Linked DNA regions of Anolis sagrei. The protein of the gene in region 1 purifies or fractionates together with the protein of each later gene. This does not show direct contact. Links are inferred from orthologs where the notes say so. Each region holds a gene or a part of one and is shown on either strand. Other genes may lie near its edges.

Region 1 (7,126 bases):
TGTGTCACAAGCGTGGCTTGTGGAAACGAAGGAGAGGGCCTTCTCTGTGGTGATCCCTCAGCTTTGGAACTCGCTCCCCAGAGAGATTAGGCAAGCACCCACTCTGGCAGCTTTTAGGAAAAGCTTAAAAACTTGGCTTTTCTGGTGCACTTTTGAAGAACGAGTAACTAATTCCCATGTCAAGTCCTGTCTCAGTGTCAATTGTCTTTCTGATGCACTTTGTCTCATTCCTCAGTTGAGAATAACCTCATTGTTTATCCCAGACGGGTCTCTCATTTAATACAGCACTTTATCTATCTCACCCACGGGTTTTACAATTTTTACTTCTCGCACTTGGCCCGGCTTGCCCTCATTTAAATTCTTGTACTGTTTTTATATTCTGTTTTATTATGCTATTGTTACTACTTTATTGGCTTATTATGTTATTGTATAAGCACATTTATTTGATGTTATTGTGTGTCTTGTATGTATTTTATTTTGCTTTATTGTAATTGCTTGGGCTTGGCCCCATGTCAGCTGCCCCGAGTTCCTTTGGGGAGATAAAGGCAGGGTACAAATAAAGTTATTATTATTATTGTTATTAATAATAATGATTACAGTGAATGGGAATTGGGATATATCTGAAAGGCTGTAGTTTGTTCTGTTTAGTCAGGAGAGTTTAAATTGAGATCCAGGGCTTGTGGATATGGGTTACAACTACCATTATCCCCAGTCTTCATAGCAGATAATCAAAAGTGATGCGAGTTGTTGTTCAGTAACACTTGGAGACCCAAATTGGGTAAAAACTAAGCAGCACTGACCACTATATGAAAAAAATATAGTTGGCCCTCTGTATCCATGGATTCTCCATCCATGGATTCCACAGCATGAAGGCAACCCTCAAGCTGATGTGGTCCTCAATGAAAATAAGGCCCCTTCTGCACTGCCATATAAAATCTGGATTATCTTCATGAACTGGATTATATGGCAGTGTAGACTCATGGCCCCTTCCACAGAGTGGAATAAAACCCATTATCTGCTTTGAACTGGAAGCAGTGTGGACTCAGATAACTCTGTTAAAAGCAGGTATTGTGGGATTTTCTGCCCTGATATTCTGCATTATATGGCTGTGTGGAAGGACCCTGGGTTATCTGAGTCCACACTGCCATAGATTCTAGTTCAATGCAGATAATGTGGGGTTTTATTCAGCTTTGTGGAAGGGGCCTGGTGTTTGAGAGGTTTGGGGGTGTAGGGCCTGATGGTTCTGTGGTGCCCAGACAGAGGGCGTGTTGGAGCAAGATGGTTCTCCAGTTGGGAGAACGGAGGGGGTTTTGGAGCAAGATGTTGTTTCTGAGTCTGGGAATTAATCTACTTTGGAAGCTGACAGGCAGGGAAGGAAGGATAACATGAGCTCATCCGAAGAAGCAGTTGGCTTAGACAGAGATACCAGGCTGCTCCTGCAGGGGAATAAATTTAGGTGCAAGCGAAGCCATGGGAAGGAGAGGCAGAAGCAGGCCTCTCAAGGTCAAAGGAATGCATTCATATTTTGCAGCCTTTAAATGAGAGAGAGAGAGAGAGAGAGAGAGAGCTGTTAGGATTCCAGATCAAGCAACATCGCTACTGGAGTGGGAAACTCCTGTTTTGTTCCTGGTTCATGCTCTGTAAGCTCAAGGCACAAGATTCCTAGTCAAGTTTTGCTTCTTGTTTTAAGGATTTACGTACTGATTCATGCTCTTGTTTTGTTCCTTGTTCTAATGTTCAAGTTGTAACTCTTGTTTTTGGATTTACCTATTGCCTATGGGACTTGCCTTCTATAGTAACAATGGGATTTTTACCCTATTGGCCCTTTCTTATATGTGTTTTATCAATAGTCTCTTTACTCCCACGTCTGCTTTCCTGGTGAGTGCTATGAGCAAGGTGAACCCCTACTGAGGTGCCACACCTGGGTCCACACTGTCAAATAATGCAGTCAATGTGGATTTTATGCAGCTGTGTGGAATAATAATAATAATTTTATTTTTATACCCTGCCTCCATCTCCCCAAAAGGACTCAGGGCAGCTTCAAAGGGACAAGCTCAAAGAGAACAAAGTTAAAACATAACACAATAAGATAAAATCAAAACAAAACAAAATAAGAACAGTGGATTGTAGCAGGTTTTTTGGGCTATATGGCCATGTTCTAGTGTTAGAGACCCTAAATCGGGTCTAATACTTAGGTCCAGGTCACAGGAGCACGTAAGGAAGAAGGCAGTCCCAGGAGAATATCAAAAACAACATTTTATTTTCATAATGGCCACGAGGAAGTCGGACAGCCGTGTTAAGTGCGTGCAGGCACCAACACTTGCAAGTGACTGCCGTACCACTCTTCGGCTTCTTCAAACTTTTATACAACAAGGTAAACAAAGATATTTTGGTCATGGAACGTACTTTTACTCTTTCCAGTCCCCCTCCCATTAACCTTTTGATGAACTGTGCCTTCTTGCACCTGGCCTGAATGTCTGGTTGTCAAAACAACAATTTGTTCTCTTTATGCAGATTTTGCGCTTCACCACAAACCCATTTCCTATGTAAGCTGAGTAGGTTAGCAACTTAATATTTTAGCCACTTAACTCAAGCATAAGCATGTACCATATATGTCACCTCACTCAGGGGGGTTGCAAAACTTCTTCTCTTTTAAGAACATCCTCCCTCTTGCTGACATGTTGCTCTTTCCCTGCAGGGAGATATATCTTTCTTATGTTTTGTTGCCAAAGCTTAGTTATTGCAAAAATCACTCATTGTCTCCTTCACTAGAAGCAATCTCTCCTGACAGTTCACCTGCATTGATGGCAGGCATCCTCAGAGCTTATGAGGTCTGTTGGAAACTGGGAAAATTGGGTTTATATGTCTGTGGGATATCCAGGGTGGGAGAACATCTATATCAGTGGTTCTCAACCTGGGGTCCCCAGATGTTTTTGGCATTCAACTCCCAGAAATTCTAACAGCTGGTAAACAGGCTGGGATTTCTGGGAGTTGTAGGCCAAAAACATCTGGGGACCCCAGGTTGAGAACCACTGATCTATATAAATAAAAATGTAATGTTTGTTTGTAGGATTAACATAACGCAGAAATCACTGGACAAATTGACACCAAATTTGGACACAATACACCTATCAGGCCAACAAGTGACCATCACTCATAAAAACACTGAAAAACATAGCAGAAGAAACTTAAAAAGTCAACCCCCCCAAAAAATACATTACAACGCATGCGCAAAACCACATATATCCACAAACACAATATATAAACATATACACAAATATATTTATTTATTTATTTACTTTATTTGTATACCACTCTTCTCAGCCATTAGGCGACTCAGAGCAGTTAACAACAAGCAGCGGCAAAAATTCAATGCAAACATCATACAGCCATTTAAAAAACAATTAACGCAATAATACACTAAGCAATTAACATCAATAACCATCAATAACCATCAATAAACAACTCACTAGCGTCTCATAACTAAAATCATAATCCAAGCTCGTCATCCGTTGTTCCGATTTCCTATAATTCATTGTAATTCATTGCACTGCCTATTCAAACGCCTGTTCAAATAACCAGGTTTTCACTTTTTTCCGAAATGCCATTAATGAGGGAGCCGATCTGATGTCTGTGGGTATACACACATATATGCATATACACACACACAAAACACATATACACAGACTGGACCACAGGAACGCGTTGCAGGGGACAGCTAGTATCACAATAAAACATAACATCAGAAAAACAATACCATGCTGAGTAATAACAATGATGAGTTAAGAGGGCTCTGAGTGTGTGCAAGGGGCCTTGGAAGTTAAAAGTAGACTTTTCCAGTGTTACTTCCCAGCTCGCCAGTAGGTGGCGCAACAGGACCACACATACGCCCTAGCCTGCCTTCACTCCCCTCCTTCACTACCAAGGACGGCATTGGACAGGTGCCGCCTCTTCTGCGCATGCGCCTGGGGCGGGACGTCAACTAAGCACCGTTGGGCGCAACGCCCCGCGATCTAAAAGTAGAGCAGGCGCGTCACTCTCATGCCACTTCCGGCAATCACCCCGCCTTCCCACCAATAGCGGCTGAGGGCGCATGCGCACTGCCTCGCGAGCGGCGAAAGCTGTTTTTCCTCGTTCGCTGATTCGAGACGGAGGAGAGCCTTCCTTCCCTCCTTTTCCCCCCTCCTCCCTCTTCTCCTCTTGCCGGCGATGTGGTCGCGCGCGGCGTCGGTCGTGACCCCGGGGTCCCTCGCGCGAGGTTGAGCGCCGGGCCGCGAGTGGGGCGCGCCAAGATGGCGTGTGTGCTGGAGGCGCCGCTCCGCATGAGCGTCCTGTCGGTGAGTCAGTCCCCGGCGGGAAGGAAGGAGGGAAGCGGGGCCGGGTAGGGCGGCCTCAGTTGTGGCTCTGAGCGCCTCAGAAGGAGGCTGAGCTGCCCCTGGCCGGCTCCCTCTCTCCCTCCTTTCTCCCAGCGCCTGTCATTCGCTCCCAGAGAGGCTCCCGCCTTCAGTAGTAAGCAGTGCACTCTAGGGCAGGCATGGGCAGACTTCGGCCCTCCCTCCAGGCGTTTTGGACTTCAGCTCCCACCATTCCTAACAGCCTCAGGCCCCTTCCTTTCCCCCCTCAGCCGCTTAAGCCATGCTCCAAGTTTAATCTATATAAATAAAAATGTAATGCTCATTTGTGAGATTAACATAACTCAACCATTGGGCGAATTGACACCAAATTTGGATACGATACACGTATCAGGCCAACAAGTGACCATCACTTATTAAAAACACTGGAAAACACAGTGGAAAAAACTTAAAAAGCCAAAAACAAACAAACAAACATTACAGCACATGTGCATAACCACATTTATACACCTATACGGAAATACATGCACACATATATACACATACAAGACGCATATACACAGACTCGGCCACAGGAATGCATGGCAGGGGATGGCTAGTCTCTTATATATGTATTTCTTGAGCCATGAGAGGTGGGTGACTAATAATCATCGTTATTATCATCAACATCCTCAGTAGGAATAGTTTATATGAACCTATGCATGGAAATACTCCCCACAGCTCCTGCCCACCTTTTTTGCATGATTTATGTAGATATGTGCGTGTGTTTCTGTATATCACCATGTTCAGCTGTCACAGGGCATTGTGGCAGCAGCCTTACTCTTACTGACCCTTACTTCTTGGTGTGTCCATATACACACCAATGTGTATGAGAGAAGATTTTTTGTTTTGTTTTTAGGCGCATTATCTAGCTTTGTATGTGTTTCAGACAGATTATTTTTATTTGTCTAAAAAAAGAAAAAGCAAACTTTGTAATGTGAACATTTATACTGTAATTTACTTTTAAAATTCAAACTAAAGCTGTCTTTTTCCTGAAACCATCATATCTGTAAGAATAATTATATGAAACCATGCTTGCCCTGTCTTCCTCACAGCTCCTTCCTTTTTGAGTGAATTCTGTCGAAAAGAATGTATGCTTCTCTTTGTAACTTGTGTTCAGCTATCACAGGGAATAGTATCATAGAGTTGGAAGAGACCACAAGGGCCACTCAGTTCAACCCCTTTTTGCCATGCAGGAACATACAATCAAAGCACTCCTGACAGATGGCCATCCAATCTCTGCTTAAAACTTCCCAAAGAAGGAGACTCTGCCAAACTCTGAGACAGCATATTATATGGTTGAAAAGCAGTTACTGGTACTGTCAGAAAGTACCCTTCCATTATATGTCTATCATGCACATTAGACCCCTATTTCCTACAGCTCCTTTGTTTTGGAGTAATTTGTTTGTGTGTTTCTGTGTTTAACATGTGTTCAGCTGTCACAAAGAATGGTGCCCGTAACTCTTCATTTCATTGATCTGGTGGTCTTAGTGAGATAAGATTTTTTTTTGTTTTTCAGCACACTATCTAGCTTTATATATACATTTTAGGATTGCTCATTTTTTATTTCTTTCTCTAGAAAGTAGAAATGCAAACTTGGTAACTTTCTGAATGGGAATAAATTGTGTGTGGTAATTGTGGACGGTTCAGACTAGAGCTTTCCAAACATTAAATGTTGGTGTCACATTTAAGACTTGCATCTTTTTTGTGACACAGTTATTAAGTTTTACTAGCAAACCATAGGTTAAACTAACCCTTACAAGAGATATGGGCACTACATAAATTCTAATGATGAAATGTATATGGACACAGCGTATCTCATTTATATTTTCAATTTTTTTGATTTACTGCTTATTTCACATTGACTTGCGGTTTCTCATTACTTCTGTGTGACACATCTACACTGCAACTAACACACAGTTTGGAAAGCTCTGGTTTAGAATAAGAGAGAATCATAGCATTTGAAAAAAACACAAAGGACAGCCGTATCAACTCCCTGCCATGAAGGAACACACAACCAAAGCACCCTGAAAGATGACTATCCAGCCTCTGCTTAAAAACCTCCAGAGAAGGAGACTCTACTACACCCCCAGGCACCATATTCCACTGCTGAACAACTTTCTAATATTTAGGTGGAATCTCTTTTCCTGCAGTTTGAATGGTGGCAGTAATCCATCATTTTGTTGACCCTGGTTTTGATGAAGATAATTTTTAATTTTTCAGCAAACTGTCCAGCTGTGTTTGAGTTTTTAGACAGTATTTTACTTTTTTAAAAATTCTTTACAAAATGGAAAGCAAATTTTGTAACATGTCTTCATTTTCTTCATGGGGTTAAATATAAACTATGAGGCATAGTTAATTACACACATTTTTATGTTTAATACCTTAAAAGTAATTAAAAAGTATCTGCAGTATAATGGAAGTGACTAGATACCAGTCTTTTGTTTTTGACAATTGGGCGGGAAACAAGTACAAGCCCTGCACTGCAATTCTCTTTTCTAGCTTTAGCCAGATAATGCAATGCTTTCCAGTATGATCTCTCTGTATCATATATATGTATATTAGGTTGTATGCCTTTATGAGGCCATATTTGTTTTGTATAGTGCCATGAATATTAACAGTGCCATATAAATAATAATCTTAATAGTGCAATCCTGCCTTGGACCTGATGGCCCTTAGATCTCCTTCTCACTCTATGATTCTGTCCATGCATTCTTATTCCCAAGTAGGTCCAT
Region 2 (7,176 bases), on another chromosome or scaffold:
CACAGGAGAACCAGCATGATGTATTTGAGTGTCACTGGTGGAGCAGAGTTCAAATCCCTGCTCAGTCATGAAAACTGACCAGTGACATTATTTATTCACACAATCTATTCCCACTTCATCATTGAATGGATCCTAAAAGTAGATCTTAAATTTATTGCCATTTATTTGTATAAACATGCATATGTTGCACTGTTCCTTATATAGTGGATCTTTGACATGATTTCTACAAATAATACAACAGGGAACAACATCATTTTGTCTGGACAATAAAATCTATCATTTGCTTTGTGATGCCATGTTTAGCCATTTCATATAGGAGAAAGACAATATCAATCTTCTCCTTCAGACAATGGCTAGTGTTTCTTTATCCCATAAGCAAAGACTCTTATTTTATTGTAGAAATAAGAGGCAGTACAATGGGAAGTATCAATCTGAATCACTGAGCACATTCTAAATAGTCTTACAACTGAATTTAAGGCAGAAACGGGGAACTGGAGTTTTCACTTTTCAGTTCCCAAGCAGCAAAGCAAAAGATGATAAATGCAGTGAATGATAGACCAACAACAAACAGAAGGCTTCATGGCTCTAGTTTTTTATTTGGGAGTGATAACTGCATTTAACAATTCAACAAATTTACATGGCATTTACATTAACTAATCTGTGAGGGTTTTTTCCTCTCTCAAACTTTTACATATGCCATTATTAATTCAATGTACTGTATATAAAAAGTGTAAGAAGTGTAACTTTCACAAAAAGGACTGATTCTGGCGTTTTCCTGACTAAGGGTTACTGCCACTTTAACTTAACTTGTTGAGTAAAAACAAACAATAAAAAATATTTCCACCAATGACAGTTTATGGTCATTCATGATTGTGATCAATGCCTTACAGACCTTAGACAGTATTACTCCAGTGTGTTCAGTGTAAAATAACATACAATCAAATGTATGTGGTTAATATTTGCCACCAGTTCAACCATCCACAAATGAAATTGCATTTTGGTAAGATGTATTATTTTGATAAACTTTGAAATAATACTGTTATATAAAAATAGATTGTCAAGAAAATGTAATATTTGAAAATTATATATTTAGAATCTGAGTTCAGAACTTATATTTTTAACAATTTTTAATTTTATTTCTTGAAAGAATAAAGTCTACAGATATACCATGCTTCAAACTGCTTTGTAACTCATTGATAATGTACGGGATACTCATAAATTAACAACATAGTTATACTTGGTACACCAATGCTATTTATTGAAAGAAGTAAGCTTCCAAACTGCAAGTGCCATAAAAGGAAGCAATTGGGGCTCCACTGTGCTAGCCATTCAGCTACCAACTTATGAGTATCATGCCCCTCCCCACTATAGTTCTCTCCTCATGGCACACTTTCTCTTGTCTTTAATGAAGACTCAATTCCATTGTCCGCCCCTCCTGATCTCTTCCAGACACATACTTTTTCATTTATTTATCTCACCCAGGGTTTTATCAATCCTACTCTGTGCATTTGGCTTGCCCACCGTGCTTTTATGTTATTTCTTCATCATGTTATTTTGCATATGTTTGTATCACTCCCTGTTGTTTTATGTATTTTATTTTGATGTTATTATTTGCTGTTTGTACTTCATTTTATTTTGTTGTACTGTAATTCTGGGCTTGGCCTCATGCTAGCTGCCCCAAGTCCCCTTTGGGGAGATGGTGGTGGAGTATAAATAAAATTTTCTATTATTATTTTCCAGAAGTTTTGAAGCAGAAGCTGGGTGGTCGTCTGTCGGGGGTGCTTTGATTGTGCTTTCCCGCAGGGCGAAATGGGTTTGGATTGGATTGTCGAAGGCTTTCATGGCCAGAATCACTGGGTTGTTGTAGGTTTTTATCGGTCTACATGGCCATGTTCTAGAGCAGGGGTCCTCAAACTAAGGCCCGGGGGCCGGATACGGACCTCCAAGTTTATTTACCCAGCCCTCACTCAAGGTCAACCTAAGTCTGAAATGACTTAAAAGCACACAACAACAACAACAACAACAACCCTATCTCATCAGCCAAAAGCAGGCCTATACTACTCATTGAAATACTTATATTTCTTTAAATTGTTCTTCATTGTAATTATTGTATTCCTTTTAAGTGTTTGTGCACTACAAATAAGATATGTGCAGTGTGAATAGGAATTCATTCGGTTATTTTTCCCCCAAATTATAATCCAGCCCTCTAACAGTTTGAGGGACTCTCACCTGGCCCTCTGTTTAAAAAGTTTGAGGACTCCTGTTCTAGAGGCATTCTCTCCTGACGTTTCGCCTGCATCTATGGCAAGCATCTTCAGAGGTAGTGAGGTCTGTTGGAACTAGGAAAAAGGGTTTATATATCTGTGGAATGACCAGGGTGGGACAAAGAACTCTTGTCTGCTGCAGCTAGTTGTGAATGTTTCAACTGACCACCTTGAAATACACAAGCATGTGGACAATTTCAACAGAAAGGAGGAAACCATGAAAATGAACAAAATCTGGCTACCAGTATTAAAAAAAACCTCTAAAATTGCAACAGCACAACAACAGAGAGGAAGCAGGCAGGGACATCTAATCACCTCTCAACAAAAGTTTGCTCCAGGCACTGTCAGACCATTATATGCTAATCAAGGTGGTCAGTTGAAACATTCACACCTAGTTCCAACAGACAAGAGTCCTTTGCCCCACCCTGGTCATTCCACAGATATATAAACCCATTTTCCTAGTTCCAACAGACCTCACTACCTCTGAGGATGCTTGCCATAGATGCAGGCGAAACGTCAGGAGAGAATGCCTCTAGAACATGACCATATAGCCCGAAAAAACCTACAACAACCTTGGATTGGATTGCCTTTCAAATTCTAACGTTCCATTTCTTGTTTGTTGTGGATACTTGAGTCCCGTTATATATAACGGAATAGTAAAATGGTGTTTCCTAAATTAAATGCTTTAAAAATTGTTTTAATATTTTAGAGGCATGGAAACGAAGGTTGACCCCAAATATATGAGTAAGAATAACAATATTATTGTTTATTCATTAGCCGTCTCTTCTTAGGGCTCGAGGCGGGTCCTCGCAGTTAAAATACGGCCACATGAAAACAAATATAAACATATTAATATAAATGAAGCAAAAGTGAAAACACAACACGCCTTGAACGTGGTCTTAAAATTCGAACTGGCAGGAGAGGCCTGCGAAAAGAGAGGGGCCTTCAGTTGAGGTATACAACACGCAGAGCTGTACTGCCAGTGTACAACGAAATGCAGGAAGAGAGGAGAGGGAGGGCGAGAGCGGCCTTCCTGCCTTCTTTCCCGCTTACCGTTCTGCGTGCGGACGTTCTCGCCGGTGCTCCGCTCGCCCAAGACCGCCAACGGGCCATCCAGCGCCGCCATCTTCCCGAACAAAAAGAAGCCCGGCCGACAGCAACGTGCGGAGAAGGAGGAAGGAAGGAAGGAAGGGGCCCGCAGCCAGGCGCGAAAGGGCTTCTGGGTACCACGCCTCTCAAGATGGCGACTCAAAGATGCGATGCCGACGATTGGAAGAGCCTCAAAAGAATATTAACCAATCCAAACGCCTGTGACAAACGTAATAGGCCGACTGCTTCTGAGCTGCTGATGGTCATTGGTTGTTGGGCAAGGCAGGGCTCCTTCCGTCTACTGTTACATAGCAACAAGCGATATGGGCGTGGCTGTTGCGTTTGTTCTGGAACGTTCTAGAAAAAACGCTGTTTTCACAAGCCTAATCTGCCAATAGGTACTAATGGCGCTCCAGACTACAACTCCCATGATGCCATCTGCACTGACGTTTGTCTGTCTAAAACAGGCCTGGGGCCCTGCAGGAGTTTTGGACTTCAACTCCCACAATTCCTAGCAGCTTCAGGCCCTTTCCTTTTCCCCCTCAGCCGCTTAAGCGGCTGAGGGGGAAAAGGAAGGGGCCTAAAGCTGCTAGGAATTGTGGGAGTTGAAGTCCAAAACTCCTGCAGGGCCGAGATTTGCCTACTCCTGATTTGAAAGGTTCCATTCCGACCCTTCGGAATGCCCTTGTCTCATAGGACCATCATAGAGAAAAGGAGGCGGGACTAGTTGCCCGGAGCCAATCGCAAGCAAGGTTATAAGCATCCATCATTTGTAGGCGCCATTTTTTAAAAGGGCGAAGTCTTTTTTCCCCTACGGCTTCAGTAGATTTCCTAGTTTGTGGACTCCATCTCCCAGAATTCCTGATCGCTGCCGACAGTGTCTAGGACTTTCGGGAGTTGAAGTCCAACCCCTGGGCCACTGCTTGTATCCAACGGAGACATCGAGCTGCGAGTGGGAAGCAGGCCTTTCCCTGAGTCAAGATGGCGCTCTCTCCGGTTTCCTAGCTATCCTGCCAGGCGGCGTGATGGCTCTGCGGAAAGCGACGTTGCTGGCGAGGATCACGGCCAGGGGACTGCGGGAAGCAGCGCCAGGTACACAGCCCACGGGGTTTGGATTAGAAACGGGGCAGTTTAGTAGGAAAAACTCCTTCTTGGAAGCCACGATCGCATATACAAAAGAAGTCCCAACACCCACTAGCCAAGGCATGGACAAACTGAAGCTGCAGGGTGCAGGTTCCCTCTAAGGCAGGCATGGGACAACTTCGGCCCTCCGGGTGTTTTGGACTTCAACTCCCACAATTCCTAGCAGTCGGTATGAAATTCAGTGCTGCATCAGTTGGAGGTCCTCTGCAGCAACCCCTGAAAATCTGCCCAGGACAGTTCTGCAGACTTCTCGAGCTGATCTTGAGGATATGAATAGGGCAGGAGTCGGGGCAATTCCTCAGTCCAGTTTGAGGCTGAACCCTCACACTGAACCCTCTGCTTTCTTTTTATGAAAGTCTGATGATGATGATGATAATAATAATAATAATAATCTATATAAATAAAAATGTAATGTTCGTTTGTGGGATTAACAGAACTCAAACACCAGTGAGCCAATGGACACCAAATTTGGACAGCATACACCTAACAACCCAATGTATGTCCTTCACTCAAAATTTTTTGATTTTGCCATTTGGGAGTTGTAGTTGCTGGGATTTATAGTTCACCTACAATCAAAGAGCATTCTGAACTCCACCAATGATGGAATTGAACCAAACGTGGCACACAGAACTCCCATGACCAACAGAAAACGCTAAAAGGGTTTGGTGCGCATTGAGCTTGAGTTTGGGAGTTGTTGTTCACCTACATCCAGAGAGCACTGTGGACTCAAACAATGATGGATCTGGACTAAACTTGGCACAAATATTCCATATGCCCAAATATGAACACAATTTGGGGGATATAGACACTGACATTTGGGAGTTGTAGTTACTGGGATTTATAGTTCACCTACAATCAAAGAGCATTCTGAATCTCACAAACAACAGAATTGGGGCAAACTTCCCACACAGAACCCCCATGACAACAACAAAAAAACCTCTGGAAGGGCATGGACCTTATGTTTTGGAGTTTTAGTTCACCAACAGAAAATACTTAAGCCCATCCAGTCCAACTCCCTTCACCAGGGCAAGAAAACATAATCAGAGCCCTCCTGACACTTTCTCATTACTTTATTTTCCAGATCACCAGACTGGGCCACAGCAACGCTTACATGAGGCCAAGCCCAGCAATATAGTAAAACAATATACAACAGAACACAGCAAAAATAAAATACAATACAAACCCATTTTAAACACGTCAACAATATTAAATCACAGCATTTAAACACACAGAAATTGATCACATTGGGCGGGCCGGTTTCAATAGATTAAACATTTAAAACACTGGTGAAACAGCAGTGTTTCACCAGTGTTTCACCAGGGAATCCAAGAGGTAGAGTAGGGTGTAATTGCACTAGCAGGTAAAATAAATGCTACCAAGGGCCTTTTTACAGAGGTAGATCATGTCAGGGTATTATCGTTCTGCAGACATCACAGTTCTTGTTCTAAGGAATGTGAATACAGTATTAGGTAGAAACTCAGGGAGCCATAAAGAGTCCCCCCCCCCCCCCCGGTGATATTTTCTTCTATATAAATAAAAATGTAATGTTCATTTGTGGGATTAACATAACTCAAAAACCACTAGACGAATTGACACCAAATTTGGACACAATACACCCATCAGGCCGACGAGTGACCATCACTCATAAAAATACTGAAAAACACAGCAAAAGAGACTACAAAAGCCAAAAAACAAAAAATACATTACAACACATGCGCAAAACCACATATATATATGCAGACACACATATATACAGACAGAAAACACGTATATGTCCAGACATATACACACACACAACACATTTTACACAGACTGGGCCACAGCAAAGCGTGGCAGGGGACGGCTAGTATATAAATAAAAATGTAATGTTCATTTGTGGGTTTAACATAACTCAAAAACCACTGGACGAATTTACACCAAATTTGGACACAATACACCTATTAGGCCAACAAGTGACCATCACCCATAAAAACACTGAAAAACACAGCAGAAGAGACTTAAAAAGCCAAAGAAACAAAAATTACATTACAACACATGCGCAAAACCACATATGCACATATTTATTTATTTATTTATTTCATATATTCTCCCCACAAGGGGGACTCAGCGCGGCCTCACATGAGCATCAGAGGATGCTAACAACATAAATACCCTAAAAACTACAACTCACAATAAAATCATTTTAAAACGTACATCAGTAAAATTTAACAATAAATTAATAGATTAATGTGCCAGTAAAACCAAGCCATATACTCAATAAATTAATAGATTAATGTGCCAGTAAAACCAAAAACATATGCACAAATATGTCCAGACATATACACACACACAACACATTTTACACAGACTGGGCCACAGCAAAGCGTGGCAGGGGACGGCTAGTATATAAATAAAAATGTAATGTTCATTTGTGGGTTTAACATAACTCAAAAACCACTGGACGAATTTACACCAAATTTGGACACAATACACCTATTAGGCCAACAAGTGACCATCACCCATAAAAACACTGAAAAACACAGCAGAAGAGACTTAAAAAGCCAAAGAAACAAAAATTACATTACAACACATGCGCAAAACCACATATGCACATATTTATTTATTTATTTATTTCATATATTCTCCCCACAAGGGGGACTCAGCGCGGCCTCACATGAGCATCAGAGGATGCTAACAACAT

The links. The genes of interacting proteins can lie anywhere in the genome.
Region 2: the proteins of ARMC8 (region 1) and MRPL18 purify together in Homo sapiens (affinity purification with mass spectrometry; 3 studies listed by BioGRID and IntAct, with this or other methods). This does not show direct contact. The link is inferred for Anolis sagrei from reciprocal best matches to the Homo sapiens genes ARMC8 and MRPL18.

Annotation. Positions count from the first base shown.
Region 1 is NC_090023.1:222,117,541-222,124,666, reverse strand, and holds the start of ARMC8 (armadillo repeat-containing protein 8), read left to right. Parts: upstream 1-4,079; 5' UTR 4,080-4,292; coding exon 4,293-4,337; intron 4,338-7,126. UniProt on the Homo sapiens protein: Component of the CTLH E3 ubiquitin-protein ligase complex that selectively accepts ubiquitin from UBE2H and mediates ubiquitination and subsequent proteasomal degradation of the transcription factor HBP1.
Region 2 is NC_090021.1:68,231,275-68,238,450, reverse strand, and holds the start of MRPL18 (large ribosomal subunit protein uL18m), read left to right. Parts: upstream 1-4,156; 5' UTR 4,157-4,378; coding exon 4,379-4,445; intron 4,446-7,176. Other genes in the region: TCP1 (T-complex protein 1 subunit alpha), read right to left, coding at 3,318-3,390. UniProt on the Homo sapiens protein: Together with thiosulfate sulfurtransferase (TST), acts as a mitochondrial import factor for the cytosolic 5S rRNA.